4 linked regions of the Alligator mississippiensis genome follow. The protein of the gene in region 2 purifies or fractionates together with the protein of the main gene of each other region. This does not show direct contact. Links are inferred from orthologs where the notes say so. Each region holds a gene or a part of one and is shown on either strand. Other genes may lie near its edges. The genes, in order: TRIM71, LIN28A, YTHDC2 and RSBN1.

Region 1 (7,612 bases), on a different chromosome or scaffold from region 2:
TACACATTTTTGGGGGAACAGAATTTCCTTCTAAAGAACCGGGGTAGGTGAGCTGATCCCTCACACCAATTGCTCCTTAGAGACTGCTAGAGATGTCAGCAGCCATCTGCAGGAAGGCCCTATAATATCCATGCACTGGTCCCTTTGCATCCTGTCAAGCATGATTTATGCAGAAACCACATTGATACAAGCTCTCTGAAGGCCACTGATGAGGGTCCTAAAGGGTGCAAAGGGTGAAAACAGGCAAATGAATTTACACAAAGATCATTGTCTTGATGGGGGAGAATGTGCTGTGTAGACAGTTCCTGGCCATGTCGTGGAATTATATCGTATGGGCAGCTCTTCCACTTTCTTTGCTTTCTCTCAGGATAGGAGCTCAGAAATAAATGTAAGAAGTTGTGTTATGAATGTACTTGCTAATTAATCCATTGACAAGTGTCTGACTAAGCAAGAGTCAGTGTGCAGGAGTGGGCTTTCTTAGCTGGCACGGTAAACTTGGTATCTCGGACATCTTTTCAGAATGTCCTAGATTGAGCAGAGCTCAAAATCAGAGCCAGAAAGAAGAACTCAAACCCAAGCTCTCCAGGCTGAACTGAGATAGTGCAGCAGAGTGTTTAGACTGTTTGCAAGCCAAGAGGAGATGACACATTTCTCATGGCCTTGTGTATTGTACAGCTTTGATCATGCTGTTCTGGATCACAAAAATATTATTCTCATCTTGAACTTATTTTGCAATATGTCATGAAAAAAAGATTATGCCAACTTCAGCCTCTTGCTAATATGTGTGGCAAATAAGGAGTTATTTTGGATATAATCCAGTTGCTAGAGCAATGAAGGCAACAATAAACACTGTTTGTCTGTTCCCCATTTGCAATATTATGTGGATAATGAGTCAGGGGCAGCAACCTGACTTAGGGGCATTCTTAAGGATGTCACAACAGGGAGGACTGAGGGTACTGTGTTTCATAATAAACCTATTCAACAAGAAGAGGCTCTGGTTTTGTTTGCATCTTTGCAAGAACCTAGAAAGTACCATGCTAGAACAGTGAACTACAATCGCAGCTTTTATGCCTGCAAACTTATCTTCTGCAGGGTAAACGTTTCTGGGTCTCCAGAGAAAAAGCAGAAAAAAAATCAGATCTATATGCTGACGGCTGCCAGTGCACATCTAAAGACCGAATGAATCAGACGGCAACCACCATTCACGGGGTTTTAATACTTCAACACCGCACACTGTCTTACCACTGACGAAGAACTGGCCAAGTATGACTGTAAAAACTGACAGTCTGCTGGACGTCTCTACCTAAGGTTTGAGGACTAAAAGCTTTCTGTCAGTGTTCGTCTATAAAATTATAAGCAAATACCACAACATCTGCAACAACCAATCTTGAGTTTTTACTCAGTTTTGATTAAGCTTTTAATCACTGGGTCCAGGTACACTGCTTTTGCTTTTCTAATTTTGCTGGGACACTGCAGTGTCAAAACATAGCTTTTCCATAACACCATTAATAAAGATAAGCCCCTGCAACATGTATTGAGAAAAGCATGCTCCATTAATTTGAGGCAGATGCTAACAAATGGCTTAAGTGCAGTTGCTTTCCAGGCCTAAGGTACAATTCTCCGCTGCCTTGAAGGAGGAACAAGGGGTATGGACACATGTATGTTTAGAGCCATTTCAAAAGGGGAATGTTGCAAAAGGGCAGCAGCTGTCACGTTCCAATTGTTACATGCAGAGAAGCTGTGGAGAAAAAAAAACAAAACGCTTCAACTTTTCACACTGGATGAAGCGGTGTTAAATTTGGAGCAGTTTTGCTATCTTTGCATAGTTCCTGGCTTGTTCACATGTAACAATTACAGCATAACAGCTGCTGCCTTTTTTGAAATGTTCCCCTTTTGCAATGGCTCCAAATGTTTGTGAGACAATACCCAAGGTGTAAGTGTCACACTGAGCCATGGCAGCCTGTGCTAATAGACTATTATTGCTGTTGTCCAATACAGATTTTCAATGAAAGGAATACTGAACCCAGATCCTTAAAGGATTTGGCCACCTTATGATTCTCCTAAATACCTTTAAAGAACTGGGCCATTCTCCTTGATGTTAGGTTATTATAAGGTGTAATTGGATTAAAAATAAATTATTGCACAGCCCCAGCTCTGACTCGTGGTCTGAGACTAGCAGTAGGAATGGCATTTTAATTTATACTTCAGTGAGGAAAAAAAGACCCATAAAAGAAAATAATAAAAACATTTTGTATCAAACTCCAAAATGCAGAAAACACCTGCAGATAATAACGGAGGCAATTGTCATTTATTTGAGAAAAAGCAATCGTGGTTTGACAATTGGGATATACTTTGTTGTAATTAAAAAGGAAGATATGAAATATTAGTTACCCAGGGAAAATTAACGGCCCTCTCACATTGAAGGTTCCCATGTTGTACCTACTATTATGCAGTTAGACGGATCCATGGTCACAAGATCAGACAATGAACAGTAGAGGTTTTACTACCTTTAGGAGGCAGAATAGTTTTTAGTATAACAAAAGTATGCTGATTTAAAAATGTGGGGCTAAGCATACCCAGTAGAAAAATCCATTATGCTATTAACCATGCAGTTAAAGATAGATGAAGTACATAGGGAAGCTCAAGTACTTAACAGTGGAGCATGGACCTCACCACTTTTAAAAGTAAATGCAAAGCAAATTGATCCAGTTTAGTTTTACTTGTTTTTTTTTCTTAAGTAAGATACAAAAGCCACCCTTCATCAACATAAGAAGCTTTCTCCAACATTCAAAGGGAGGAATGAGAGATTCTTAGTTTAGAAAATAGAAGTAGGTGCTCAGGTATGAAGGTGATGTGTGTAGTATAGAGTTTCTGTGGACATACAGCTCTTTGCTTACAGCCATTTCTGCTGCTGAAGATACAGGATCTGGCTATAAACTGTGAGGTTTAGCAGCTTTGGAGCAAGATGCACTGAATCTTTCAAGAGTCTAGGAGCCTTACACACTACTTGTGTAGCACCAGGCACCCTGTTGGTATGCAAGGGAAGAATTCCTTTGTCCATGTTTGTTAGTCGAGCAAACCAAACACTTGCACCGTGGAAGGTGGGAATGTGAGCTGTGCATAGAGACAGTGTTGGGGGAGACTCTTATCTGAGCAACCCACAGAGCACAAGCCAGTATTAGCTATTCAGTGAACCAGTGCACTTTGTATCCTTCCATTTTTTCCTTGGGGCAAAACAAACTAAACACCAGGATAGGAAAATCAAATGTAAAACAGAATTTTTTTTGCAACGTTAACTTAGGTACCTTAGACAGTGGTTTACGTAGCATAAGCTATGCAACGTATGGAGACATGCTAAATACACCATACAGATATGTAAGTCCATACCCTGAGGACATCGTATGCTCTAGGAACACGATCCTGTAAACATTCATGGCTTTGCCTGCTTTAAAGCAGGGGAGCAGCCCATGCCTGCAGCTTGGTCTGCATGTGTGGAGCCTGATGCTCTTGGGGAGTCCCTCTCTATTCAAGGAAACTGCAGGCAAAAGGGCTCTTCACTTGCAGGTCATGTTGCAGCAGCAAATAAAGTCTCATGTTCTGCAAAAATGTAAATGTGTGCTTAATGCTAAACACGCAACCTAAGCATGGGCATGCGGATTGTGTGTAGGACCAAGGCCTGAATAGGCAGGAGAAACTCTCTGTGGTTGTTAGGTTTTTTTAGCCTGCTTTTCTTTTTACCATTTTGCCCAATTATGTTGCTATCTTCTACTTTCTTGACATTTATTTCACACCCCTTTGTTTGGCATTTGTGTTAGAGATGAAAATGTTAAGGAGATGCTATGCTGCATCTTTCCTGCTTTGGGGTTTGATTTTTTTTTTTGGTTTCTCCTATCCTATTTTCACGATTTGTTGACCTCTTCCCTATTTCCCCTTGTCCTTTCCAATTGCAAACCTTCAAGTATCATTCCTTATTTAACTGATAAGCCAGAGGACAGTCAACGTGGTTGTGTTAACAAACCTTAACTTTTGGAACAGCCTGGATTCCCTGTGTTGGATTAAAACTAAATATTTGGTGGTTAAAAAGATCAAAAAGGGGGTTGATTTTTGGCAACCTGAACACTGCCTTTCCACCACTTATTTACCACTTATTCTCTGCTTCATGAGCTCTTAAAGGAAGTTTCTGTTCCCTGTCCAGCAATTGCCCTTAGAATCTTTTTATTTTTTCTGGTTTAAATCCAAACAGGGACAACATTTTAATGCAAACTCTACAGCCGTCAACTTAAAAAAAACCGAATAATTCACCAGGACGTTACAAAAGTGTCCTATTGAGAGCTGTCATGTGTCCAACCCTCTCTTTAATTCAAGGGAAGTTCTTTTTTGAAAAAGAAAAAAGAAGTGTGACAGAGAGTTGTTAAAAACGGGGGAAAGGGACAAATTTTTTATAACAAGCTACTGGAGGGGATCCAATTAGACTGCATTAAAAGATGGGGAGGGAAAGCCTAAAATGAAGCAGGCTCCGCTTCTGTTCAACGGATCTGGAGGTGAGGGGGGACAAGTGAGGCTCAAGGGCTGGGAAACAAAGGGGTGGCAACGTGAAAGATAAGCAGCCCTCCCACAGCCCGGGGAGGCGGAATACTAGAAGATTCAGGAACCTCCGGCTCTCGAGGAGGCAGCGAGCGAGGAGCAAGAGGGTTAATGTTTCCTGTTTGCCTTCAGCCCCCCACCCCCGCCCCTCAGCCTCCCCCCGGCGCCCAGGCGGAAGTGAGCGCGCTACTTCGGAGATTAAAAGGGTCCCGAACTCCGATCACTTTCAAGAGCAGGCGGCCGGAGAGCGCGGAGAGGCAAGGCCGAGCCGGAGCCGGAGCCGGGGCAGGAGCGCAGCCCAGCCCAGCCCAGCTGGAGGAGCCCCCGGCCGGGAGGGGCCACCGGCAGCTCCCCCGCGCGATGGCTCCGCTGCAGTCCCGCGCCGCGCAGCGCAGGCTCCCGCCGCCTCAGTGAGTCACTGCCGCTAATTGCAACCCGGTGCCGGCCACTTGCTGGGGGGCGGGGGGGGAGCAGCGAGGTGAAGAAGCGGCTCTTATTTTTGGACCGTGCTCGCCGCCGCGTTTTTTTTCTTTTTTCTTCTCGATTATTATCGTTTCTCGCCCCCTCCGCAGCCGCGCGCCGGCACCCGGCGAGATGACAAAGGAAATGTGATCCCGGGGGCTCGGGCCGGGCAGGAGCAGCAGGAGGAGGAGGAGGAGGGGGCGCGGGACCGGCGGCAGCGCTCATCTGTGCGAGCGGACATAATACACCTCCATGAATAATTCAGGCCGGCCGGCGGGGACCTGCCGCCGCTCCGCCGCCCGGCCCAGCCGCCCGACCGCCGCCTCCCGCCGGCGCGGCTAGGAGCCAAGTGGAGCAGCCGCGTGCGGAGGACCGCCCGGAGGCGCCCCTGGCCCGGCTCGGCCCCCACAGCCGGGTCCCTGCGTGCTTCAGGCGCCCACTGCCTCCACCATGCGGTGGCGGAGCCGGCGTCGGAGGGGGGCGGCGGGAGCCGGCCCGGCCCCGCTGCGCTGAGCCCGCCCATGCGAGGCGCCGGGGCCCGCAGGTAGCGGCAGTCCAGTCCCGTCCCGTCGCGTCCCGCCCCCCATGGCTTCCTTCGGCGAGGCGGACTTCCCGGTGTGCCCGCTGTGCAAGGAGGCGTGCGGCTCGGCCTCGTCCAGCTCCTCCTCCTCCTCCTCCTCTTCCCACGGCGGCGGCGGCGGCGGCTCCTCCTCCTCCTCCTCCTCGTCGGGCGGGGGCGGGGGCGCCCCGTCGCGGCGGCTGCACGTGCTGCCCTGCCTGCACGCCTTCTGCCGCCAGTGCCTGGAGGCGCAGCGGGGCGCGGGCGGCGGGGAGGCGCTGAAGCTACGCTGCCCCGTCTGCGACCAGAAGGTGGTGATCTCGGAGCCGTCGGGCATGGACGCGCTGCCCTCCTCCAACTTCCTCCTCAGCAACCTGCTGGACGTGGTGGTGGTGGCGGCGGCCGCCGAGGAGCACAAGAACGGGCGGGCCGGCGCCGTGGGGCCGGGGCAGGGCCCGGGCGGCAACAACCGGCACCACCGCCCGCCGCACCGCGCCGCGCCCCCGCCCGCCGCCTCGGCGGCAGCCCCGCCACCCTCGTCCTCGTCTTCCTCGTCCTCGTCGTCCAGCGCGGGCGGCGGCGGGGGGGGCGCGCCGTCGGGGCCGCTGCTGCTGCGCCGGCCGCACAGCCGCCAGGGGGAGCCGCGCTGCAGCTCGTGCGACGAGGGTAACGCGGCCAGCGCCCGCTGCCTGGACTGCCAGGAGCACCTGTGCGACAACTGCGTGCGCGCCCACCAGCGCGTCCGCCTCACCAAGGACCACTTCATCGAGCGCTTCGCGGCCCCCGCGCCTGGGCCTGGGCCCGCCGGCGCCGCCCAGCTCGGCCTCAGCCCGCCCTACCCCGCCGCGCCCTACAGCATCCTCTCCGTCTTCCCCGAGCGCGCCAGCTACTGCCAGCACCACGACGACGAGGTGAGCTCTTGCCCCCTCCCTCCCTGCTGGCCTGTGCCCCCCTCCCCCCAGGCCTAGGACCGAAAAGAGCCAGGTAAGGCAGCATGGGGGGGACGGGACTTAGGTTTCAAGGCTTCTGGCTCCCGTGCCATGAGCTGTGGTTCCCTCCCCGTTTAACCTCCTGCTCTCAAAAGCCTGAGCTGTTTCCCTCCCCAAAACCTCCAGTTTGACTTCACTCCCCGGGATGCTCCTGCTTCCAAATGCCCCAGCCGGAAGGGGCTTGCTGGGTGGTGCCGCTGGTCTTCTCTTTTAGTCACAGATGGAGATGTTTTAGTCCCCACCTGAGCACTCCCCTTCTACCCCTCCCCCCCATGTCACTGGCTCTGAACAATTAGATCAGATCAGCTGCTGGCTTAAAAATGTGGCCTTGTGACCACATAAGGCCTACAACTGGCTTCTGCATCTGGGCAGGTCTTTGCTTCATTCAAAGCTTTGGCCGTTTCCTTGCTTGCTTCCCAAGAAGGGACCTCCCGGTGTATTGTTTGTTTGTTTGTTTGTTTGTTTGTTTGTTGTGTGGTAGGAAAGCATGTGAGGACAGGGGTACCACCACAGATGTGACCTGTGGTCATTCTTGCAGAGCTCTTGAACTGCATGCAAAATTATTATTACTATTCCTACATAATGTGCTTTGAAGTTTTGCACTTGGGTCACATTAGCAATTTAAGCCCCATCCCTGCCCCCACCAACTTGAAAACCTCTTTGTCAAAACCTCTATTGTAAGCTGAGTTGAGGGGATATGGGAGCACTTCACATGTGCACTCCCCCTTCTGCCCCAGGGTAGAAACCAAGTCTTAGAAGTCTATTTAAACTGCCCCTTTCTTGGAGGGGAGAAGGGGTTGTTTTGTCTTGGTTTGGTTTGTTTCTCCCTTTCAAATGCAAGTAATATTCAGGCTGTCACCACTTAATACAGTAAAATTGATTGCAAGAAATCTTTCCCTGAGCTTGAAGGAACTCATAAAAAATACAAAGGTGGCATCTACAAAGTGTTGGTGTTGCATTAGTGATAGGAATAATGCAATTAAAGAAACAGGAAACTAGCAAGTAGGTGTCAGGAGAG
Region 2 (7,354 bases):
AAAAAACTCTGGGGCTCTCTTCCCAACTCTGCCACTGAGTGACCAGGCAAACCTTAGGGAAACCGAGGTACAATCTGCCAAAGGGGGCCGACCACACTCATGCCCACAACAGGGCAGTTGTGAGGGGCTATATAACTCCTGAATTCAGTGCTGTGGGTGGTGATCTCAGCATCACCCTGAAGCCCATTAAAGCAAATGAACCAGTTTCACTGCTTTTGGCCTCTCTTGAGCTTGTTATGTTTTTAAAGGTGACTTGCTAGCAGAACTGGTTCCACTGCACATGAGGTGAAAGCAAAGGAGTCACTTGTGTCTGCACCAGCTGCCTTGGGAGATTGCTGGTGAGAGAGGGAGACTCGCACCCAGAGCTTAGGTGAGGAGTGACCAAAAATGGCTGTTGGGAGGGCTACTTGAGGTGGGTTTTTGTGGGGTTTATTCAAGCTGCCAGAGGACAAATATCCTCTTCTCTCACTTGCACTCCATCCTTGTCAGTAGTGCCAGCAGAAAGGCTGGGGAGTGAGTTGATATGGAGATGCATCTGGCTCCTCTGGATGGTCCTCCAAGGCTCTGAGTCAGTAAAGCACCTGTCTTGTTTGCCGTTGCGAGTTCCAGGCAGGGGAGGAACCGTGCGGATGCTGTACATCAAGAGGACTTCACCCTCCAAGGTTTCTAATGAGGTTCTGCTGGTGTCAGTGCTCCTGTGTCGCCTATGTAAGTTGGTGTATTGGTGCCCATCAATGGACAGACAGAGCAGTCCTCAGTGTCTCCTCCAGGAAACAGCATGTCCCAAGAGGACTGTGCAGAACTGGGCCAGGTCCTGGAGAGAGGCTGAGGCCTGGTAGCTGCTGCCAAAGCCAATGGCTAGTTTGCCTTACAGGAGAAGCTGGGAGGCTTGGAAATGCCTTGGGCTGAGCTACCCTCCCCAGATGACTAAAGGGCATTCCAGGAATGAGCCCTGCTAAGGAAGGGCTTGATCAGTGAGCAACAGGAGCTGCCAGTAAGGGCTGAGTCAGGAGTGGAGGTGTGACTGCAGGCTCTTCTGGAGTTAAGTCCCTACCAAGCTGCCAGGGCAAACCCCCATGTACAGTCCCTGATCTCTCACTCTAATGCTTTTGTGTCCCACACAGATGGCCCCAGCTGAGATGGAGTCTTAGATTGTCATGTGCCACCTCCCTTGGCAAGGCAGTGATGGGTGAGGAAGCAAGATACCAGGTCCCCAGGCCACTGGCACCTCACACTGATCTATCCTCCTACTCAGTTCCTTGTATTGCTGGGGAGAGAGCGTGGAGTCCATTCCACCCCTGTTCACTTTGTACCAGGGCTGCTCTGGACCAGGACCCTGTGCTCCCTCTGAGCATGGTGTCTCCTGAGCTGGATTTGGAGAAGCTTCAGTAAGAAGAGGTCTAGCCCCTCCCCCCCCCAACATAAGACAGCCCCTGCCTGGTGTGATGTTTTCCTTGTTTAGTGCATCAGAAATGGCCTGGAGTCATCCTACAGCCTGGAGTCCTGCCTGGGACAGTGGGACCAGCTCTCCGGAGCAACATTTCCATTATCTGTGTAGCTACTTCTGGGGGGATGAGTGTGAATGTTTGCAACAGCTTCAGGGCTAGAGAAGTGAAAGGTGTCCCCCTATTTATGGACCGTGTGTGTTCTGCAAACTAAGGTGCCTTCTTGCCTCCCATTCCACATACATCGCACAGCTTCATTAGCAGTTATGAATAGCTCCAATTATTGCCGTCCCTCCAGAGAGAACACAACTCAATGGCCAATTAATACAACTATATGCAACAAATCCTTCTTCACTGGACCCTCCCCAGCTTTCCTTTGGCTTCCATTTACATCCCCTTCCATAATAGTCAACCCCATAAGCAAAGATAGTAGGAAATCGGGGAAAAAAATAGAATTATAGACAATGAGTGTTGGAAGGGGCCACAGGAGGTTGCACTAGTCCAACCTCTGCTCAAAGCAGGACCAGCCCCAACTACATCATCCCAGCCAAGGCTTTGTCTACCCAGGTCTTAAACACCTCCAAGGTTGGAGACTGCACCGCCTCTCTGGGGAGCCTGTCCCAGTGTGTTACTGCCCTTCTCTCAGAGAGTTTTACCTAATATCTAACCTCAACTTCCCTTCTGCAGTGGGGGCCAAAACTGGCCACACACTCCAGATGTGGCCTCACCAGTGCCCACTAGAGGGGAAGAATCACTTCCCACGAATAAAATCGCCCGTGGTGAGTGTTTGATGGGCATCAGAGAGATTCACAAGCAAGAGCAGGGACAAGTCCACGCGCTCGGCACCCCGGCAGCTGCTAGCCCCAGACACCAGCTAAGCCTAAAGGAAGATGCGGTTGATTCCTCAAAGAGAGGATGATGATGATAGCCAACAGCTGGTGCAGAGCCGACTGCCTGGGATTGAAGCAGCCCCGCCCGCCGCTAAGCAGCTTTCCTGGCTCCGGACCGGGTCGGGGCACGGACGGTTCACCCGGCGCTGGAGACCGGGTCCCCGGCGTGGCGGCTTCTCCCTGCCCCGCACAGCCGCGGTCAGCACCTTGGAGAGCGGCCGGCCAGCCGGCCCCGCGGCCAGCACCCTGGACAGCGCCGGGACTCGGCCGAGCCCGGCCGGGGAAGGGGCTGCGAGCCCGGGGCCAGCGGCGACCCGGCCGGGGGGACCCAGCGCTGCGGGCCCGGCCGGGGAAAGACCCATCGCCATGCACCCTTCCCTAGCCCCGGGGAGAAGGGGGCAGCCCTGCGCCCCCAGCCTGGAGGGAGAGGGGCATCGCCCTCCCCGCCGTGGGCTGCCCCCTGCCCCGCCAGGGCTGCTCCCACCCTCCCCTCCCCTCCCCGTGCCCCGGGGGCTTCCCCTGATGGCAACGGAGCCCCGGGGGGAGGAGAGCCCAGCCGGGGCCCCCCTGACCCCCGGGAGCGCCAGCCGCGGCCGGAGCAGGTTCGAGGCCGCCCTGAGCTCGCTGCCCGCGAGGGTCCGCGGATCCGGGCGCGGGGGGTTTGGGGGCTCCTGTTCCCACGGGAGGGGCCGCAGACTTCGGGGGCCCGGGCTGGGGCATCTCCCGGGCTCTGGGCGGGCGGGAGCGGGACCTTCCCGGGGACGGGGGCGGGACTCCGGCCCTGACCCCCCGCAGGGCCGGGGTGGCTCAGCGCGGCCCCTTTAAAAGTCCCGCCGCGCCGCAGGGGAAGAGTGCCCGGGCATTGTCCGGTTGCAGCCCAGCGCCGGAAATGGGGGGGGGGATCGGCCCGCCTGTTCGGCCATTGTCCGGCCGGGCCACGAGCTCTCCCGCCCCAGCCCCGGGGGACCCCCGGGCACGCGGCCCCTCCCCGGGGAGCTCGGGCTCAGACCCGCGGGGCCGGGCTAGGGGAGGGGGCGAGCCAGCCTCAGCCCCGTTCCCAGCTCCCCCGGCCGGCCCGCTGCCCCCGCGGGCTTCCCCGGGCGAGGTGCCGCCGGGTCGGGGCCCGCGTGCGCGCAGGGGGCCCGGGAGGCACGGCTGCTCCTGGCTCCGCTGCGCCGTCGCGCAAGGGGCTATTTTCAAACGCGGCCGCGGCTGCTCTCGGCGCCGTCGGGGCGCTCGGGCTCGGGACCCGCTCGCGGGCGAGGGCCGGCCAGGGAGGGCCACGCCAAACCGGGACAGCCGGCCCGGAGCTCCGGGGCTGCATCCCCCGGGACAGCCCGCCCCGTCCCGGCGCGGGGCAGGGCAGGGAAGCAGAGAGGCCTAAGGCGCGGAGCTGGGCCCGGGGGAGGGTGCCCGAGCTCCGTGCCTTCGTGGGGGGGTCATCCATTTTTTTAGGCTTGACAGGTGGTTTCCAACCCTGATTGGTTAGGCGGAGGGGGGGTCTCGCTAACCCCCCTCCCCTGGCCGGAGCACCGAGTGTCCAGGGGGGGGAGGGTCGCGGAGCCCCCAATACAGCGTCCAGCCCCGGGGGGGGGGGGTAGTGAAACTGACCAGGGCGCGGTGAAACTGACCAGAGCAGCCCGCATGGCAGAAGGTGATTCCCGCCCCCAGCCCGCCCGCGGGGAGGGGAGAGCTCCGGGGTGTAGCCGAGGCGGGGGGCAGAGCTCCGGCCTTCCCCATTGTCTCTTAGAATTTGGGATCCTTTGAAAAGCCCCTGGGCCCTCCCCCTCCCCCTGCCATTGTTGGAGTGAAGATGTAGCCGACCTCCCCTCTCCCCTCCTCTCCCGCTGCTGCTGCTGCCGCTGCTGCTGCTGCTTTTTGGCCTGGCTTTATTTATTTATTTATTTATTTTTTTGCTGGGGGTGGGGGGGGCGGGGGCCGAGCTGCCGTGACCCGCCCGGGCCGAGGGGAGGAGGGCGCCCGGCCACAACGCGGGCCTGCCAGTGGGGACAGGATGGGGTCTGTTTCTAATCAGCAGTTTGCAGGTTAAAGCGCTAATATTTCTTACAGGCGGGTTTATTTTGGGGGTGGGGGGTGGGCAGGAGTTCCCGGCCCCACCGTGCGCTCCGTCTGGGGGTTTTGGGGGGAGGGGGCGCGGAGCTGGGGCGGGGGGGGTCCGGGATGGGAGAGCGGGACCGGGCGGGGGCTGCGGCGGTGCTGGGTCCCTGGGCCGGGGTCAGCGGAACTCCAGAGGCCACAAAAAAGAGAAGGCAAAAACTTTCCTGCAACGGGAGGGGGGAGAGCTGAACCCCCCTCACCCCTCCTCGCCCGCGATGGGATCCCCGTGAGCCGGGATCCCCGGGAGTGGGGCCGGGGTCTTCGGCCCGGCTCCCTCTGCCCCTCTGCCAGCAGGCCCCGGCTCCAGGCTGGATCCTGGGGGGGTTCCCCGGGGTGCTCCCCCCTGGAGGGAGCAGTAGGCCCCCCACGGCGCTGTGAAAGAGGGGTAACTGGGACCAGTAAGGGAGAGTAATTGGGACCAGTAAACGGGGCAACTGGGACCATTGTAGTTGGGTAACCAGGACTGGGGGGGGTGATTGGGACTCTGAAGGGGGAGTAACTGGGACCAGTAAAGGGGGGTAACTGGGACCAGTAAGGCAGAATGATTGGGACCAGTGAAGGGGATAACTGAGACCGGTAAGGAGGGGTAACTGGGGCCAGTATGGTCGGGTAGCTGGGACCAGTAAGGACGGGTAATTGGGGCTAGAATGGTCGGGTAACTGGGACCAGTAAGGGGGGTGATTGGGACAGTACGGGGGTGCAGCCGAGGGTCTCCCGGGCCGGGGAGGGGACGGCGGGGCTCGGGGCCGCGGGCTCAGCGGGCTTGGGCCGCATGTTCCCAGGTGGCTGCGCCAAGGGCGGCGAGGAGCCGGCCGGAGACTCCCCGCAGGCGGAGGATGAGCCCCAGCTGCTCCACGGCTCCGGCATCTGCAAGTGGTTCAACGTGCGGATGGGCTTCGGCTTCCTCTCCATGACCAGCAGGGAGGGCACCGCGCTGGACTCGCCCGTGGACGTCTTCGTGCACCAGGTAGGGCGCGGGGGTTGCCCGCGGGGCTCGGCTGGGGGCCGGGGGAGCCCGGCGCAGGGTGAGCCGCTTGGGAAGGAGGGCCTGGGGGCCCCCAGACCAGCCGGGCGGGGGCAGGGAGGGAGCCCGGCCGGAGCTGCCTCAGCCGCTACCGAGAGATTGCTTTCTCTCTCTGTGATGCTCCACCTGGAGCCCTCGGAGCCGGGCAGATGCGGGCTGCAGCCGGCGGGGCAAAGCCCCAGGCGGCCGGGAGAGGCAGCCAGGGCTCTGGGGCAGAGAGCTGGCAGCAGAAGCCGCCAAAGGACAAAGCTTTCACCTGCCTCCAAAGACAGCCTCCACCCTGGCAGGCCTCTGGATGCCCCCCACTCCACCGGCCTTGGCACTGTGCTTGGTTATGCCTTATCCATAGCTGGGGTTTAACCAAGACCCTGGTTGTGGGCCCCAGGCTTGCTCTTAACACGGGTCAAACCCAAGCCCACCCCAGTTGGCACCGAGGCAGGGGCTTTACAGCAGGTGGTGGCTCCAGCTGTCAAACAAAACCCAAAGCACCAACCCACCCACCACCTGGCAGGCAAGGGCACGCGTGAGCACTGCCCACCTGGGCTAAAAACCTGCATCGTTCTGCAGGATCCAGCTTCTGAACTGGGCAGGGTGGTGGGGCAGTGACCACTAGCAGTGAGCAAAGGGTCCAGCCGGGCTCTGCTTGACTGCTTCTGGAGGAGAGCCAGAGGTTGGGTGCTGGCACTCTTGGGGGCGAGGATGGTTTGCCTCGTACCTGCTGCTGCGGCTCTCTGGGCACAGGTCGAATGAGGTCAGTTGGCCAGGATGGACCAGCAAGAGGGCTGCAGCTATGAAGCTATGCAGCTATGAAGCATGGAGTGTGGGTTTTTTGTAGCAAACATGGATTTATTCCCCCAGTGTGAATGGGATCAAAGAAACATGTGCTTGTTCTCTTTATTGAAAAGCCAGGGCGATGCCTGTGGTATGATGCTCTCCCTGTTTCCAGGCAGTGGATATTTAATGTGCATTGACCAGGTGAATTTCTCTGGGAGATCTGAGGTATCCCCCCATGTTTTCACTCGGTACAAATGGAATGAGAGCTGCAGAGGACAGTTGTTTCTGGGGTCTCTGATGGCTGTGGCTGGAAGGGCTCAGTATAGGACTTGCCCAAAATTTGTGGTGGTCAGCGGCTGGGTTTTCATGCAGTTGACCAAGTGTGTGTGGAAAGCATGAGATGTAATAGAGATGGGATTAGAGGCACTGGCTCCAGGAGAGAATTGGTCCCTTCAGGTGGGGCCGGAGTACACTGATGGAACATACAAGCTCCGGAAGGAAAGAAGATGGGAACCTGAATTCCCTTATTGTGGGAGAGGGCAAGCAGCGCTTGAGCACAGCACAAACAGAGGAAACTCCTTTTGTTCTAATTACCGTCCTGCTGGTGGGCCATAAAATCAGCTGAATTTGGAGGCCGAGGATTCCCAGCTCACCTGGGAACACCTAGAGACTTCTTTACCGTTCTGCTGGCGATGCCCTTGCTTCCCCTGCCTCCTGTTGCAGGGGGTCCTTGGGTTTGTTCTCAGGGGGGCTTTGTGACTGGGTACATGGGGGGGCTGGAGTGGACCCGTTTAGGACTCTCTGGATAAAAGGCTGTCTGTGGATGCAGGGAACCAGGTTCTGGCCCAAAAGGACTTTCCAGGACCATGGTGCCCTGATGACCGAGAGTGGTCACTGTGTCCAGTGATGGACGGAGCCAAGTTCTCTGCTAGAGAAAATGGCCAAATCTTTTGTGCCTCTGCGCGGTGTGTGAAATTCAATGTGAGCCCTGAGTAATGGAGTCTGTGGGTGGGAATCCTCCATTCTCCCCAGCATTTATGGCCCCCAGACAGTCTAGTTTTCTGATTGCCGGCACTAACATTCCTGCACAAAAAGAGAACAAG
Region 3 (7,613 bases), on a different chromosome or scaffold from region 2:
GAAGCACAGCAAAGAAATCTAAGCAGAGAGCAAAACATTTTTATAATTCTAATTTACAGGTGCACTATAAATCAATGCAATAAATAAAGTTAGCATGCTACCAAAATATCCCTCCAGCTATGAGCACCTCTCTCAATTTATTCGTTTCTCTAAGAAGAAAGCACTCTGATTCTTAAATGTATTAACATTCCAAAGTTTCCTTTTTTTTCTCCACCGTACACACTAGATTTCTGTTACAATGTCCCCATAAACCTAGGGGTCTGAGTAGGTTTAAGAGTCTTCTATGTTTTCATGATTTAGCAGTCATAAGAAAAAAATAAATAAAACACATTGAGTCCATATGCAAGAGACTTCAAATCTTCAGCATATTCAGTCAGATAGCATATGTTGCGCTCTGGAATTGGAAATAAAAAGTTTACAATGCACTGCTAAAGCATCCACAGTCAAAAGTTACTTCAACACTAAATATTATTTTTCTTTTGCTTTAAAACTTATCTCAGGAGCCCAATAGTTCTCCCGGAGTGTTTATTTTAGTATGTTACAGCTCTAGTTGCTTTGCTTCTAGGCAGCACAATCCATTAACCAACCTACAGAAGCACATATTTGCTAGAATTGTGGATGATTATATCCACTTCATTCTCTGTGTTCAACTCAGCACTGAAGTAAAACTCAGTCATTTGTTTCTAAAGAGTTTTAGCACAGTGGTCCTCAAGCTTTTTAGACTCAAAGCACTCTTCACAAAGGCCAGACCTTAGCTTTTACTCATTTCTTAACTATGGAAAAAACAAAAGAGCAATTCTTCTGCTGCAAAGAACTTAGAAAGACCACAACAGGTCAAAATATTTTGGACATTATGGATCCCTATTTGAAATGCCTGGGTCACTTTGAATCATGTGTTAGAAATGTGTACATCTAACACAGCACGAATATTGCACAGCACCCCATAGCATCCTTAAAAGCCTGAGAATCACTGGTTTAGCACAAGGTTCCTTTTTATTTTAATCGAGGCCAACAATGAAAGTAGAATGAGGATACAAAACATTCCTGGCATGATACCCTAATATCAAGTGCTGATAAGTCACAGTAGCAACCCAATAATACCATTGTCATCAGTAGTGATATTACAACTTGTTTTGAAATACTGATTTTGCTGTTCAGTAAAAGTAGTTTGGAGTGATGAGAACAAACTATGATCAGAGTTTTGAACAAGGATGGCCCCTGTCTAGAAGCTGTGTTAGAAAGAAGAGACTATGTACAGGGGAAACATTTCTGAAACTGCTTCCTATTTCTTAAGTCAATAACATCTAGGGATTTGTGTGCCTTGCAGATACCAGTTTTTGTCTTTTTTCCCCGCTCTACTGCCTTAATATTTTTAAACCTTGAAGACTTGGCAATACTGAGATGCTTATTAGAAGTATATGCAGTTCATCATTTTATCTGAACATAAAAGGGGCCCTCTGTCCATCGAGCTCCTCTTCCCTTCTTAGGGCATCAGAGAGGGGAAAGAGAATGGGGTAAATCCATCTCCTAGATATGAATGCACCTACAACAAACTCCTTTCTGAAGGCCCTGCTCTCCAAATTTCTAGATATGGGAACTGATGTTTTCCATGATGCTGTCCCATACCAAGGTCCTGGATCCCATACAGGAGTGCGGGCGGAAGATGCTACTATTAGACCAGAATAAGCCCCACTACTACAACAAAAGAACCTTCCTTTATGTACATATATAAACCACAAGCTAGTGAGAGAACACATCTTCCAAAACCACGCGGATCTCCAATTCCTTCAACAATTAAAGAATACAAACATTTAAAAAAAGAAGAGGACTAATGCTAGGAGAGACCCACGAGGAACTTCTGTTTCTTTTTCTTATCAATGCCTCTACCCTCAGGGATTTTCCCATGGAAAAGAATGGTAATCCTTGGCTATGATATAAAACGCACCAAAATGATACAATATCATCTAACTGATAGGCAGATGTTCACATCTAATGACTAAGAGAGCTAATCAGGTAACGGCTTACCCTTTGCTTTTGGAGATGAGGCCAAGGGACTGACTCAGTCGGTGAATAAAAGCTCGTTCCGTACTAGTCAAAGAAGAGGGAAATTCCATTTCTAAGAAGAAAAAAAAAGTCAGAGACAACAACACAACAGAGCCACCCTCTTTCTTCTAACTTCAGTGACCAAAATAATACTTTTCTACATTTTATATTTAATAGCACTGGCAAGTCAAGAGAACAATGGAAAAGGAATGTCCTGTTTCAACAAACTTCTTCTCCCCATGAAATGCAACTTTAGTGTAAGGCCAAATTATGTTATTAGTTTTACAGACACAACTACTTAAGGCAATCGTTTATCATATTTTTACAGCTTATTGGCTTTGCAAAGCTGTAACTGAGGGAAGTTTGGTCTGCACCATCTTTGTCACAAGTGCTGGGGCCGTATCACCTTCTCATGGAGGCCCAGCAAACCCCTCAGTTTCTCTGCTTCCCGGGGTGGAACCAATCAGGACTTGGGGGGGAGGCTTGAATACAGGTGGGGGCCTTGAATACAGGGCTGCACGTGGGAAGGAGCCCCCATGGGCCGGATCCAGCCTGCCAACTTGCTTGACAACCACTAACACTCTACAGGGATATGTGCTGCTGCCTCATTGGCCCACCCCTCTAGACTGCGGCTCCAGTCTACAGGTACACACAGGCCTCGCCTTATGTATTAATGAATATATATGAAAGTGAATAAATATGGGGGGGGTGGGCAGCGCCTGAGGGGGAGGGGGTGGGGCCAGGTCCCAGGCCAGCACCTCGCTGGTCGCCGTATCGGAACCGCTCCAGGGCCAAGTTCACGGCGATCTTCACCTCCTCGTCCACACGGATGTCCCGCAGCCCCTTGGCCCGGCCGCGGCCACCACCGCCCGGCGCAGGCCGCGGGGACTCGCTGCTGGGCCGCGACATCCTACCGCGGGGCTGCAACGGGGCCGAAAAGTGAAAGCAGCCGGGAGCGGAGGCAGGGGCGGGGCCACGCGGCAGCGCTCTGACGTCAGCACGTGTTCGGGGCAGGCGGCTGCGGCGCCGTCGCCAGGCAGCGGGCGGGGCGGAGTAGGAGCAGCTGCCGCGGGGGGTGCTGGGATGCGGGGAGTTGGAGGCGCAAGGCGCCGCTCGCAGCTGCTGAGCTTGTGGCTCTGAGTCACGTGACCCTTGGGGCCTTGGGGGACCGCTGCCCTTGTAAGGCCGAGGCAGGAGCAGGCTTCGCCTCAGCTCTGCGCTAGGTTGCCCTCAGCCTTGACACAGTCCCAATGCCCTCACCGGCCCCGCGTAAAGCGGGGGGCCCCTGGACAGCCAGCGTTCTGCTTCTGTGGCACGTCAGTATGTGCTCAAGAGAGCCTAGGCAGAGGGCTGCAGCCTGCTAGAGGAAGGTAAAGTCCCCACAGTCGTACCAGTCTGGCCGCGGGGTCAAATTCCTTCCTGCCCCCAACTATGGCAGTTGGTCAGACCCTGGGCAGGGGTGCAAGACCCTCTAGCCACAAACCTCTGACTCGCATCCAAGCAGGAACATTGGCACAGCCCAGTCAAAATCTCTGGTCCTGGCTGCAGCCAAAACTCCCATTGCCTCTGAGCGAGGTTTAAAAATCACTTGACAGTGTGGCAGAAAGAGGGGGTGGGGGAGCCAGCAAAGCCCAGAAGCATGGGGAATGCCCGTAGTAGCACACTGGTTCAAAACGAAAAGCTGGCCTTTTCCAACTTGTTCCTTGAGCCAAAAAGGTTTGAGAACTGCTGCTGTACAGGAAAAACACTACAAGTAATACTTGGAAAATATAATAATGAACAGCATTTTGCATGGGTATGGGTTGTAGCTCTTTTGGCATAAGGACATAGGCAGACAAGGTTCTTTGGGTAAATCTGATATCTTTTATTAGACCAACTCAAATAGTTGGAAAACATTTTCTTTGCAAGCTTTCGGGTATAAATACCCTTTGTCAGGCATATTGCATCAAACTGGAAGGCAATCTCTATTTATTTTACAAGAAAATGTTTCTGTTGCATACATTTGATGTACATAGACTTTCAAAGGTATGGGAGCAACTACTCCCCATGATTAGTGTCCTCCTGCCATGGTCTCAGATTCTGTACAGGAGTGCAGGCAGGTCAAAATTAGATCAGAATGGTGTCACAACCCAGTGAATCAGTGCCCATGCCACTAGCAAGAGATACCATTCAAGTAGTCAACTAAGGGTTAAAAAAAAAAATCCTTGCTAGAAACTCCTGAAACAAAATCCTGGCGGAGAGCTGTATATAATTTACGCCCACGTCACAAACAAGAAACGAAACTTAAGACTGGTCAGGGTGAAAGGGGATAGCCCTGCCATAAATCCCTGCAATTGGTCAAGAAACAAGCGTAAGCCCCTCATCATAACCTCATACATAACAGGCAGAAAACCTAACCCACTACCTTGTAACCTGATAGCAACCTGAGAGCACAAAGAACTGCTGCTTGCCAGAAAATTAAAGATTCCACATAACGGTTCATCATTGGGTATCTCCGTCAGACACCTCTGTCTATAAATAGTTTAGCAACTTCCGCCCAGGTGGAGAACCCCGGAGAAACCTCTGAGGAGAGACCTGAGTCCATCACCAGAGTAGATTGACAGTCTGATCAGCTGTCAATCTCTCCCCGTCATCGTTAATTTTGACGTAGTAAAGCCCTGCAGGCTCAATAGTCCGTTCTCGGTGCGCTTCGTTCGTCATTGCTTGATATACGTTTGACTGTAATCGATGCAACTGTAACAGGAACAAAGGCTCAGCCTGCGTCGCATGTCACTATCTGGGCGACGTAAGTAAACAATCTCCTGTAACCAACACGCGTCTGTGCCTGGTTAATTTCACCCCATCCATCACTACCCGCCTGTCAGGTGAAAGTTTTACTGCTCCGGTGGGGGGGGTCAGAAAGCAGCTGCCGGCGCTGCTCTGATTCCCAACAAATGGGTCCTGCAACTACATACGTACGTATGAAAACTACAAGCAAATGAGAGAATGCAGCTCTCAAAACCACACCAACAGCACTATGAAACAGAGGCATTGAGCTGATCTACGTAACAACACCAGAGTTAGGGAGAGAGCGGCTCCACAGTCCAGAGACCTCACATGGATGAGAGGAATGATCATGAAACCCTACAAGACCATGACAACCCAAAGAGTGCTCAAGAATGGGGAGGAAATTGAAGCATGGAAATACATACCGGTATTTTATTGTTATATACAGCTAAGAGGACCCATTTCTGAGAGAGGTTATGCCTAGGAAGTGTGTTTAAAGGATCAAGGAAAGAGACAGTGCTGGAATATACTCAGAACTAGAGAATTTAAAGAACACACGGGTGCATGAGACCCAGACACAAATACCTAGCAAATACCTGGCCGGGATATGTGTACCGGGGCTCTTACAGATTGGCACAGCTGGGTTCTGGGAAATGATCATAAAATGGCAGGGGTGTTCCAAGTTTGCGTTGTCTCAAAGGTTCTATGTAATATTTTCTCAGTTTCCTGTATTGTAATACTATTTTCCAAATACCTTACCATACAAACTCTACCTAAGTCGGGGCAGGCAATTATTTTGGGTGCAGGGCCACTTACCGAGTTTTGGCAACTGTTGGGGGCCGCAAGGGTAGCCCTGCCCCTTCACAGGTGCCCTGCCCCCTGGTCACTATCTTGGGGCCAGAAATCCCGCCTTCTAACCCCTGACCTTTGCCACGTGAAGTCCCTCACCTTGCCCCCAAGAAGTACTCCTTTCAGCAAGGGGGGTTGCCATCTCGGAACCATAAAAATTCCAAATTATATTCTAAAAATCAAATATCTACTACAGCATTCATTAATTTTATTTCAAAAAAATATTTTGCCCTGATTTACATGTGTTTGTGTAGCATACATAAGAGGTGATTGTATAATAGCTTAAAATTAAGTTTTACTTTTGTATATTGGGGGTGTGGGGAGGTATAGGCTTGTGGGTTAGTGGGTATAGGTTTGTGGTGGGCTGTGGGTATGTAGGTATGTGAGGTGTGGGGGTGTGTGGGGGGTTTGTGAGGGGATGGATAGGTATGGGAGTGTGAGTATGTGGGGTAAGGGTGCATATGGGGTGTGTGGTGTGGGTGGGTATGGGGTTTGTGGGGGAGGGTGGCTGGGTAGGGTTGTAGCATGTGTGGAGGGGGAGGGTTTGGCCAGAGCCCTCCCACAGCAAGTGGAGCCCCAGCCAGTGCTTCTCCAAGCCCCGGCTCCGCGCTCCTGCCACTCCTGACCTCAGGGCACTGGTGTGGGACCTGTGTTTCCACTCACCGCCACTTCCCCCCATCTGCCACCGCTGTCTGGGGGCAGGTGGCAGGGCAGCGGCAGCACGCAGGCATGTGGGAGCACAGTGACAGCTGGGCGGGAGTGCAGCAGGCAGAGTGGGGTGCAGGCTGGCAGCTGGCCTGGCTCCCACATCTTCCTGCTGGTGCAGCCCAGCCCAGCTCCATGCAGCCCCTGCTAGCCTAGGCCCTGTGCTCCTGATGCTCTGCTCTGGGCCCTCACCGGTGCTGGCCCCAGTGCACCAGCATGGGCCCTGCACTACCACCTAGCTGTTGCTGCATTCCCATGTGCCTGCTCACTGCCACTCCCCAGCCCCTATCACTTTCCCACTTTTCTGCCCACTGCCATCATTCCTCTCTACCCTCCTGTCCCCCGCCCTGGCACCACGTAGTTCCTGGCTGCAGCACTGGAACCGCAAGAGCCGGCCCGGCCTGGCCCTGAGGACTGGGATGATCGTCCACAGTCTTCCCTGCTGCCTCCTCCCCCTTCTTATCTGAATTTCCCTCTTTGGTGGAGGGAGGCAGGAATAGACCCAGGGTCCCAGGCCAAAAGCCTCTGCTACCTCTTCAGCCTAGGACCAACCACATCCCTCCAGACTCTACAATAACTGACCAAAGCATCAAAGTTTAGAATGTCTCTTAATCTAATTTGTTAAAAGAAAGAAACAAACAAAAAATCAGAGCCTTCCCTCCTTTCCCTCTCTCTGGGGCTGGAGAGACAAGCTGGAAACGTTCCCCTGCTTGTCTCCAGCCTCCTGCTCATCTCCAACCTCCTGCTTGTTCCCGTGCTGTCCCCTCATTTTCCCTGCTGTCTGGAAATGAGCAGGGGAACGAGGAGGAGGCTGGAGATGAGCAACGGAACATCAGCTTGTCTCCAGGGGCTCGTCTCCACAGGGGGTGGGGGGGACACATGGGGAGTTGGGAACAAACGGGGCAGGGGGAACGAACAAGGAGTTGGGGGAATGTATGGGGGCGCGGGGGAATGAACGGGGAGTTGGGTGAACAAACAGGGCGGGGGAAATGAACAAGGAGTTGAGGGAATGAACAGGGCAGAGGGAATGAATGCGGGGGCAAGAGGAACTCACAGGGGGGCTGGGGCCAGGCAGGGCCTCCACATGGTTCCCTTCCCCCCTTCTCCAGCCCCCCCAACCTCCTACTTACCTGCCATGAAGCCAGGTCCAGGTCCCTGCAGCCTGCACCACTGGTTGCCCCACACAGGCAGGCAGAGTGATTCAGCACCTGAGCAAGGGCCAGGGCTGGCTACCAGAGCAGCTCTGTGGA
Region 4 (7,395 bases), on a different chromosome or scaffold from region 2:
AATCCAAACTGTTGCTGCATCTGTGTGCACACAGAACAAAAAGCTCCATGCCCTCAGCAAGAAAGAAGCTTTTCCTGGCAAACATGGGTTTCAGTCGGCATAAATACTAACAAAAGTATTTTCACGCAAGGTGGGGAGGAAGCCTCTAGCTCTTACAGCTCTAAACGAGAATGGATGCACAGTTGTCTTCCTGGTTCTCCAGAAAGACAGCGCCAGTGCTTCTGAAACTCCTCAGAGCTTTGCCAGGCCACGTGTTTAAGTAAAGGCTCTGGTCTGTTTCATAACCACAGTCAAACCTCGAGGGCTCTGCAATAGCCCAGCCGTAGCAAGAAAGGTTGTCAGCCCAATCCTTTAGAGGCATAGATGCACAGAAAGTACATCTGCTAAATGATGCATTTGAACAGGCATCACTTTACTAAACCTAAAACTAAAGGCCTGTTAGGGTTGTTATGATTTTTATATAAATGTCTCACCTAATTTATTATAAAATGCTTTCTTCTTACTACTAGAATCTCTCAACTTTTCCACACGTAAAAGAAAACCCAATACATTCCTAGGCTCCTGCTATTAAAAAGAAAACACACTGGAGGAGGTAACAAAGTTACACATTCCCAAGTCTTAGTTTGAGGCCAAATTAAAATGAAGCATCAATAACAACTATTCCCTCGTCAAAATTAGATGGAGAACAAGAGAATGAAGCGATCTAATGTTTCTCTTGCAGTTTGTGAAAATGTCAAAAAAGTGCTTGGTGTAATACTCTCAGCTGGACTTCTGATATATCACATATACATTTCTGCCTGACCTCTAAGACCATCTTTCTCCTTACTTCCATTTATAAACCTTTAATATAGGATACACAAGTATACTGTGTGCATACACACATACATACACACCTACATAGAGTCAATGAGAAGTAAGGCTGGAAAGGACCTCCAGAGCTCATCTAGTCCAACCCCCATATACACGTGTGCATGTATGTGTATAATTACACCCCCCCCCCATACCTGCATGGCATATTATATACAATCACACACAACTATACAGAATATCCCTCTTGATTAAGCAGTACTTCCACATTGCAAATTGATCTCTTTAGACCAGGGCCATGTCCCAGTACCGGGCCGCGAAGGATTAGCTGCCGGACCAGAAGTGACCACTGAGCGGCAAACAGCAGACTGGAAGGGACTGCCATACTGTGGACTGGTAGCCAACCCTTTTTTATACTGAATATAAAAAAAGGTTTGGATGCCTGCCTGCAGTCTGCCGGTCACGGCTGGGCCGCAGTTTGCCAGGCCACGGTCACTTCCGGTCCTCAGCATAAAAAAGTTGGGAACCGCTGCTTCAGACCCACCCCGTGGAGCTCAGACTAACAAAATGGTATTGTTACACTAGCTTTTAAAGTTAAAGTAAAATAACCAAGAGCCTCCCCAAGAAATCTTTATTTTTGGTACTATAATAAAAACTGATCTCACTACTCGTGTGTCCATTCAATGCCGTCTCAAAGTATTTTCTTAGCTAAGATTTCTTTCTTTTTAAAATCCTATTCATAACCCCTAATGGATCTTTTAGGATACGGGCCAGAAACTTCATAAATTCAACGTGTAGTTTCCCAGTTTCCAAAAAAACTGAAATATTCTAAGACTTCTCTTAATCAACTGATGCCAGCCAGAACACGATCACGGTTTTAGCGACTCGTCTGGGAAACAGTTTCCTTAACCGAGCCTGTCAAAACGGATGCTTATTTTGCTGGGGTGATCCGACCCCTGCTGGCTTCCTGCTCCACGGGCAGGGGGCTGGACCCGGGGATGGCGCACTGCCCCTTCCAGCCCTAATGTCTACGAAATCTATAGATAAGAGAGTCATATGCCTGCTATAAGAAATATTGCTTCTCCACTACGCAGGCCTGTCCTTCTAGAGCAGCGGTTCCCCGATCTGTGGTACGGGTACCACCATGGGTACGCAGACAACCCGTCAGTGGTACGTGTCAACAGATTTATTACAATTACTTAGTACGGTATCAATGTGCTGGTGGTACTTAAGGTTGTGTCGTTTTAAATTGGTGGCGTGCGATCGCTGCTCTCGCGGCCAGACCTATCACCCCCGCCACTGCCCTGTCGGGAACGCCCCGCGGCTCCTGCACTTCCGAGGCCTGAGACAACCTCTGGCAGCCGCTGCAGAGCTGCGAGGTCAGTCACGAGATGACAAACCAGGAGAGGCCCTTGCTTGGCAGAGCCAAGTTCTTCTGGTTAACAGCTTCTTCTCCAGCACCTGGGCTGCGAGGCTCCCATACGCTGCCTAGTCCGGGACGGACAGCAGCCAGCTCGCAGACGAGGGCCAGACTCAGAGTTGCCACTTTCTGGTCAGTTCTTCCCGGGGCTGACAGGTCACGGGGCCCAGCCGATGCACTGGGGCAGGAAGCGTGCTTTATTTTGAGCCCAGCCAAGCCACCCCTGCGCGCGGGGCTCAGAAGCCGGCCCTGGCCCGGCCCGCGGCAGCGCCCCGGCAAGCGGAGGGGGGCCCGGAGCGCCAGCCGCCCTCCCGGGACCAGCCCGGCCTGGCCCGGCCAACTCCCCCGGCCCCGGCCCTCACCTCGCTTGGCGGGCCGCGGGGCCGCCCCGTCCCCGGCGCTGGCCCGCCGCGCCTTATGAGGCGGCTGCCCCGCGGGCTCGGGGCCGTCGGGTCGGGGGCGGTGGTGCTGGTGGCGCTCGTCGTGCGGCGGCGCGGGCGGCAGGCTGAGGGGCGAGAAGGTGAAGAGCCCGACGGCGGCGGGCGCGGGCAGGCCGGGCAGCGGCTCCGCCGGGCCGGGCCCCGCCAGCAGCGGCTGGCTCAGGCGGGCCCGCTTGGCGCCGGGCTCGCCACCGGCGCCGGGCCCCCGCCGTCGTCGCCCGCCGCCGCGAGGCCGCCCGGGCCGGTCCCCCGGGGGCAGCGGGGGCGGCTCCTCCGGGGCCCGCGACACGGCGCGCACTGCAGCGACCTGCGCGGCCATTTCGCAGGCTCCCTCACACACATTTAAATGGCCCGAGCGTCCGGCACCAGCGCGCACGCGCCGCGCGCCGCTTGCTGGGGGCTGTAGTCCGCGCCCAAGCCCGGCGCCGGCCGCGCATGCGCCGCCGCAGGGCCCGCCGGGAAACCGAGTCCGCCCCGCCCCTGCGCCCGGCGCCAGGAGCGTGCGCCCAGGCACGCAGGCCGGGGCCGTCACGTGGGTACCCCTCCCCGGCCAACGGTCGTAACGGTCGCCCAGCGCGCTCGCGCGGAGGCGTTGGGCGCGCAGCAAGCACGTGTGCTCTCGCACGGCCTGTCATCGCGTAATGCGCAACAACAACAACAACAACAACATGTGCAACAAGGTGTGCAAGAACAACCACAAAACGTGCAAGAATAACAAATGACAATCCAGAACAACAGCGCTGCATAAATAATACATTTATTCCACGTAGCATCTCACAGGCAGGGTAAAACACTTCACAGAATCAGTACAAGTTGGAAAGATGTGTCAGTTCTTTACAGGTCTGATTTGACATCGGGTCCTTGTCGGATGACCGTGAGGCGGATCTGATTTACACCGGGGGGGGGGAGCCCCCAGCTGCCCTCGAGCAAAGAGCATAAAGATCTGGTGCGGCCACCTTCGCTGCCCCCCCTCGGGGCTTGCGCCCAGCTCAGGGCCAGCATGAAGGGGAGTGAAACCAAAGAGCCTCCGTTCCTTTAGCGCCACAGGCACCGCGCGTGCGGCCTGGGGCTCCAACAAAACCCCTCTCCTCCCCCCACTCACCTGGGATCGGGGCCGGGGCGCAGGACAAAAGGATGGCATCTTTCAGCAATATTCGTTCTTTGGCAATAACTAAGGAAGACCTACAATTAGTAAATGTGTGAGAGAATTCATTTCAATAGTTTTTGCAATGCTAGAAAACAGCTGACTTGGAAGAAAAACAGTCCATGCACTTTTAGGGGGTCCCGCTTTCCCCAGCTTTGAACCAGCGGGATGCCTCTCTATCCCGTATTCATCATCACCGAGTTCCTCCGGGAGCCGAACGGCGCATCAGGCCCTGAAAACACCTGCATAGTTTGCATTTCCCAAGCCAGCGTTTTTCTAGAAGACAGCGAAATACATTGAACGGTTTGTAAAACGTCTACATTTTTCCGTGGATATGAATAGCAAGAAAAGAAGCTTTCAGATTTTAGGAAACTTATCTTCTAAGTGTCTGCATCAAAAGGCTTTGGCAAGTTAAAGACCTTAACGCTGTGACTTTTTTAAAGGCCAAAACTAGGCATATGGACACTTTCATTCACGTGAACTTTTTTCAGCAGACTATGCAGCATGTTTCCATGCAGGCTTGGTTCCTACGTGAACAGTCATCATCGTAAACAGACTTCAGACAGACGCTTAGAGAAAATTACCCAATTAATTTGAACGGAAAGCACCACCATGTTAACATACTTGGCCAAATACCTGAATTCTAAAATCTGAAAGGCTTTTTCTCCCTTAGCCCTCAGTCCTGGAAACAGATAAGCACGTGCCTAACTCAAATTGCCAGAGAACTATTTACGCAAGTACATTTGTGCAGAGGCTGAAGCATTTGGAGGATCAGGGCCATCAGTCACATCATAGACGTATCACACCCAGGTGACACTACTGGGACAGGAAAATCAGACCCATTTTCTTACGGTAAATTAAACTGCAAAGTCAGAGGAAATGACCCTGCTCGTTTAAAAATAAGAACGCCCAGGCTCCAAAATAATTCAGTTTGCTTTCAGACACCATGTTTCATATTTGTTTTTAGTTTCCAGCCTGATGTACAAGAACGTTTTGGAAACTAAAGGCAAAATAGCTACCCACACTGTGTGTCTGCAACAAAGTGGGAAACTAGACAGCAGCAGGGAACACTGATGGCGGCCGTTGGATGCAGCCAGCGTTCGTGCTAAGCACGTGTACGGCTAGCGAGCATGTAAACAAGAAGGCTGTGCAGCTGTCAGTGTGCAAAGAAGAACAGCGTTCTGTCGCTGTCTTTGTGGCCCACAGGAGCGCCACCTCGGTGAATTCACCGTATCGCTCGGTCTATGAGTGGGTGGAGACGTTAAAAAACGGCCACACGTCCCTAATGGACAAAGCCCAGGCAGGACGCCTCCAACAGCCACCACAGAGCACCGTCTTGCCAAGGTCAAACATTAACTACAAGTGCCAGGCAGCTGCTACTCATTTCTGCATCCCTCTTCATATTACAACTGATTAGGTGATAAAAACAGATGTTTGCATTATGCCCTGGTTGCAGATACTGCGCAACACAGGCATTTTTCCTTTTTATATTTTGACGGTGATCCATCTTGAAGAGCATTTGAGATGTGTCAGAGGGATATGGCAAATCTACAGTACCGCGTCCACAAAGTTTATTTAAATATTCCACGATGGTGGAGGATTTCTTGGTCCTTTAGGTTTTGAAAATCGTTTTGCAAAGCCTAGGAGTAAGAACAAAATATTTATTTTCATAAGTATTGTAAACACACTGTGATTTTCACATTGCTCTCCTATTCTATATGTTCAGAGTATTTAAAAAGACTTGGGCTTTAAATACACTATGTGCTCTATTAATCCTAACACATCACACTATTTAACTACAGTGACAGAAATGCTGGTATTATGAAGCATGATCACATTTATCCATGTGCAGGGCCCATTAAGGCACTTCAAAAAACTAGAAATTGTAGCAGGCTTGATGTTTAAAAGTCCATAATGCTAAGTTCATTCAAATACTGTCACAAGGCCAATAATTTATCCAAACTCAGTGTCTGACCAACCTCAGACGTTTTTGAAGAAGCATTAAAGCATGAAATCTTGCATTAATATACTATGAAGGGACCTTGGCTGGGGTTGAGCCCTGCTCCTGTGATTACGGGTACTGTTTTCACAAGAAAGTTTCATTGTCTCCGTCTTAAAAATCTGTTTGGCTTAATGCTCTGCAACCATGAGATTCCCCAGGTCAGCTATAGGTAACTCTGGCGCTAAATAATCAAATACAGTTGTGCTGCAGCAGAATGTCTGCCAGCAAACACAATTATAACAAGAATATCAAGGACATATCAACAAGGTTCTGTGCCTCTTGATTAATACACAACTACTCCCTTAAAATCAGCATTTAAATGACATACAGCTTCTCTCCCATGATTTACACAGGGTCAGGCTGTAGCTACTCAGTCTTTCCGTGCAAAATGTGTAACCATTCAGTACTGATTGGTTGTTGTTTTCTGCAGCCCCTTGCCACATTCAAGCTGTATCCTGTCACAACCAGCCACATGTCTGTTGTTTGTGCAACTTGCATGTGTTGACAAGCACCGTGCAGTCCGACATAGCTAGGGACTGCGACAAGGCTGCCCACCCCAGCATACGCTTACTCAAACGTCTCGCAAACGATTAATGCAGCTTAAGTATGCAGTGTGGCAGTGCTGTGGCATTAGCAGCCCTGACTGCCCAGCTCCCCCTCATTTTCCAGCCTGCAAACACGGCGACACTAAGCACCCTGTATTTGAGGACTGTTTACAGCACCCTCGGAGCTGCCGATCTAGAAGCAGTCTTGAAACAAACTAGCTCCAGTCATTTGCAATACTTCTAATAGCAGCCTTTTTTTGACAGCTGCTTCCTCTTCACTGTTTCCATATGGAGGGCTATACAAATTTTACAAAGTATAGAGTTTCAGACAGTATGTGGCTAACAAAATACAATTAAGTCACAATAACAGCAGGGCTGAAAGATCCTATTCACTTAAACAGTAAGCAATTACCCAAGGTTTGTTATGTTATAAGCATTAGGCAACAAATCCGGACTGGTTTGGTGTTATGTAGGGAAGTGAATGATGTGCCTACAAGCAGAATATGTCCTATTGCCTCAGTGCGTATGACAGAGCTTCTACTGTGAATATTCCACCCTTATATGTAGGTCATACATAGCTCATCAATAAACTCCCAAATGTTACACAAGCACACAAACAAACAAACAGCTTTGTCAAAATAATTAAGCTATAAGGCCACTGGCAGCTTTAAATAAATTCAAGCCTCTAATTCTTTTGTGTATTCATGAGCTAAACAGTCACACAGAAGAGTAGGCAATTGCTGCAGTGAAAAGTGTTCAGTCACAGATGCTTCTGATCTATGCAGACACTTTTGTGAAGAGTTCCGTCACCTTCCTCGCACTAGCCAAGAGCCAGCTACAACGTCTGCACTTAGCCTTTTAAAAGTCTATAGTCAATGTTCCAAAAATCCAAAGAGAAAGGGAAGAAGGGGAAACAACATACCAAAATTCAGAAAAGAGGTGGAGTGGTTTGTCTGGGTAGGCTCCCGTGGCTTTGCCAATGCAGATGGGCTGCAGATACCTAGAAACAAACAGAAAGGCTTTCTTTAGGAGGCAGT

What was found.
Region 1: the proteins of LIN28A (region 2) and TRIM71 purify together in Homo sapiens (affinity purification with mass spectrometry; 3 studies listed by BioGRID and IntAct, with this or other methods). This does not show direct contact. The link is inferred for Alligator mississippiensis from reciprocal best matches to the Homo sapiens genes LIN28A and TRIM71.
Region 3: the proteins of LIN28A (region 2) and YTHDC2 purify together in Homo sapiens (co-immunoprecipitation; 3 studies listed by BioGRID and IntAct, with this or other methods). This does not show direct contact. The link is inferred for Alligator mississippiensis from reciprocal best matches to the Homo sapiens genes LIN28A and YTHDC2.
Region 4: the proteins of LIN28A (region 2) and RSBN1 purify together in Homo sapiens (co-immunoprecipitation; 3 studies listed by BioGRID and IntAct, with this or other methods). This does not show direct contact. The link is inferred for Alligator mississippiensis from reciprocal best matches to the Homo sapiens genes LIN28A and RSBN1.

What each region holds. Positions count from the first base shown.
Region 1 is NC_081828.1:141,971,886-141,979,497, forward strand, and holds the start of TRIM71 (E3 ubiquitin-protein ligase TRIM71), read left to right. Parts: upstream 1-4,594; 5' UTR 4,595-5,631; coding exon 5,632-6,516; intron 6,517-7,612.
Region 2 is NC_081829.1:3,104,585-3,111,938, reverse strand, and holds the start of LIN28A (protein lin-28 homolog A), read left to right. Parts: upstream 1-4,349; coding exon 4,350-4,380; intron 4,381-5,235; coding exon 5,236-5,420; intron 5,421-7,354. UniProt on the Homo sapiens protein: RNA-binding protein that inhibits processing of pre-let-7 miRNAs and regulates translation of mRNAs that control developmental timing, pluripotency and metabolism.
Region 3 is NC_081826.1:226,732,510-226,740,122, forward strand, and holds the start of YTHDC2 (3'-5' RNA helicase YTHDC2), read right to left. Parts: upstream 3,013-7,613; 5' UTR 2,953-3,012; coding exon 2,802-2,952; intron 2,117-2,801; coding exon 2,026-2,116; intron 1-2,025. UniProt on the Homo sapiens protein: 3'-5' RNA helicase that plays a key role in the male and female germline by promoting transition from mitotic to meiotic divisions in stem cells.
Region 4 is NC_081837.1:45,408,901-45,416,295, reverse strand, and holds the start of RSBN1 (lysine-specific demethylase 9), read right to left. Parts: upstream 3,018-7,395; 5' UTR 2,987-3,017; coding exon 2,590-2,986; intron 1-2,589. Other genes in the region: PTPN22 (tyrosine-protein phosphatase non-receptor type 22), read right to left, coding at 5,387-5,451, 7,281-7,358. UniProt on the Homo sapiens protein: Histone demethylase that specifically demethylates dimethylated 'Lys-20' of histone H4 (H4K20me2), thereby modulating chromosome architecture.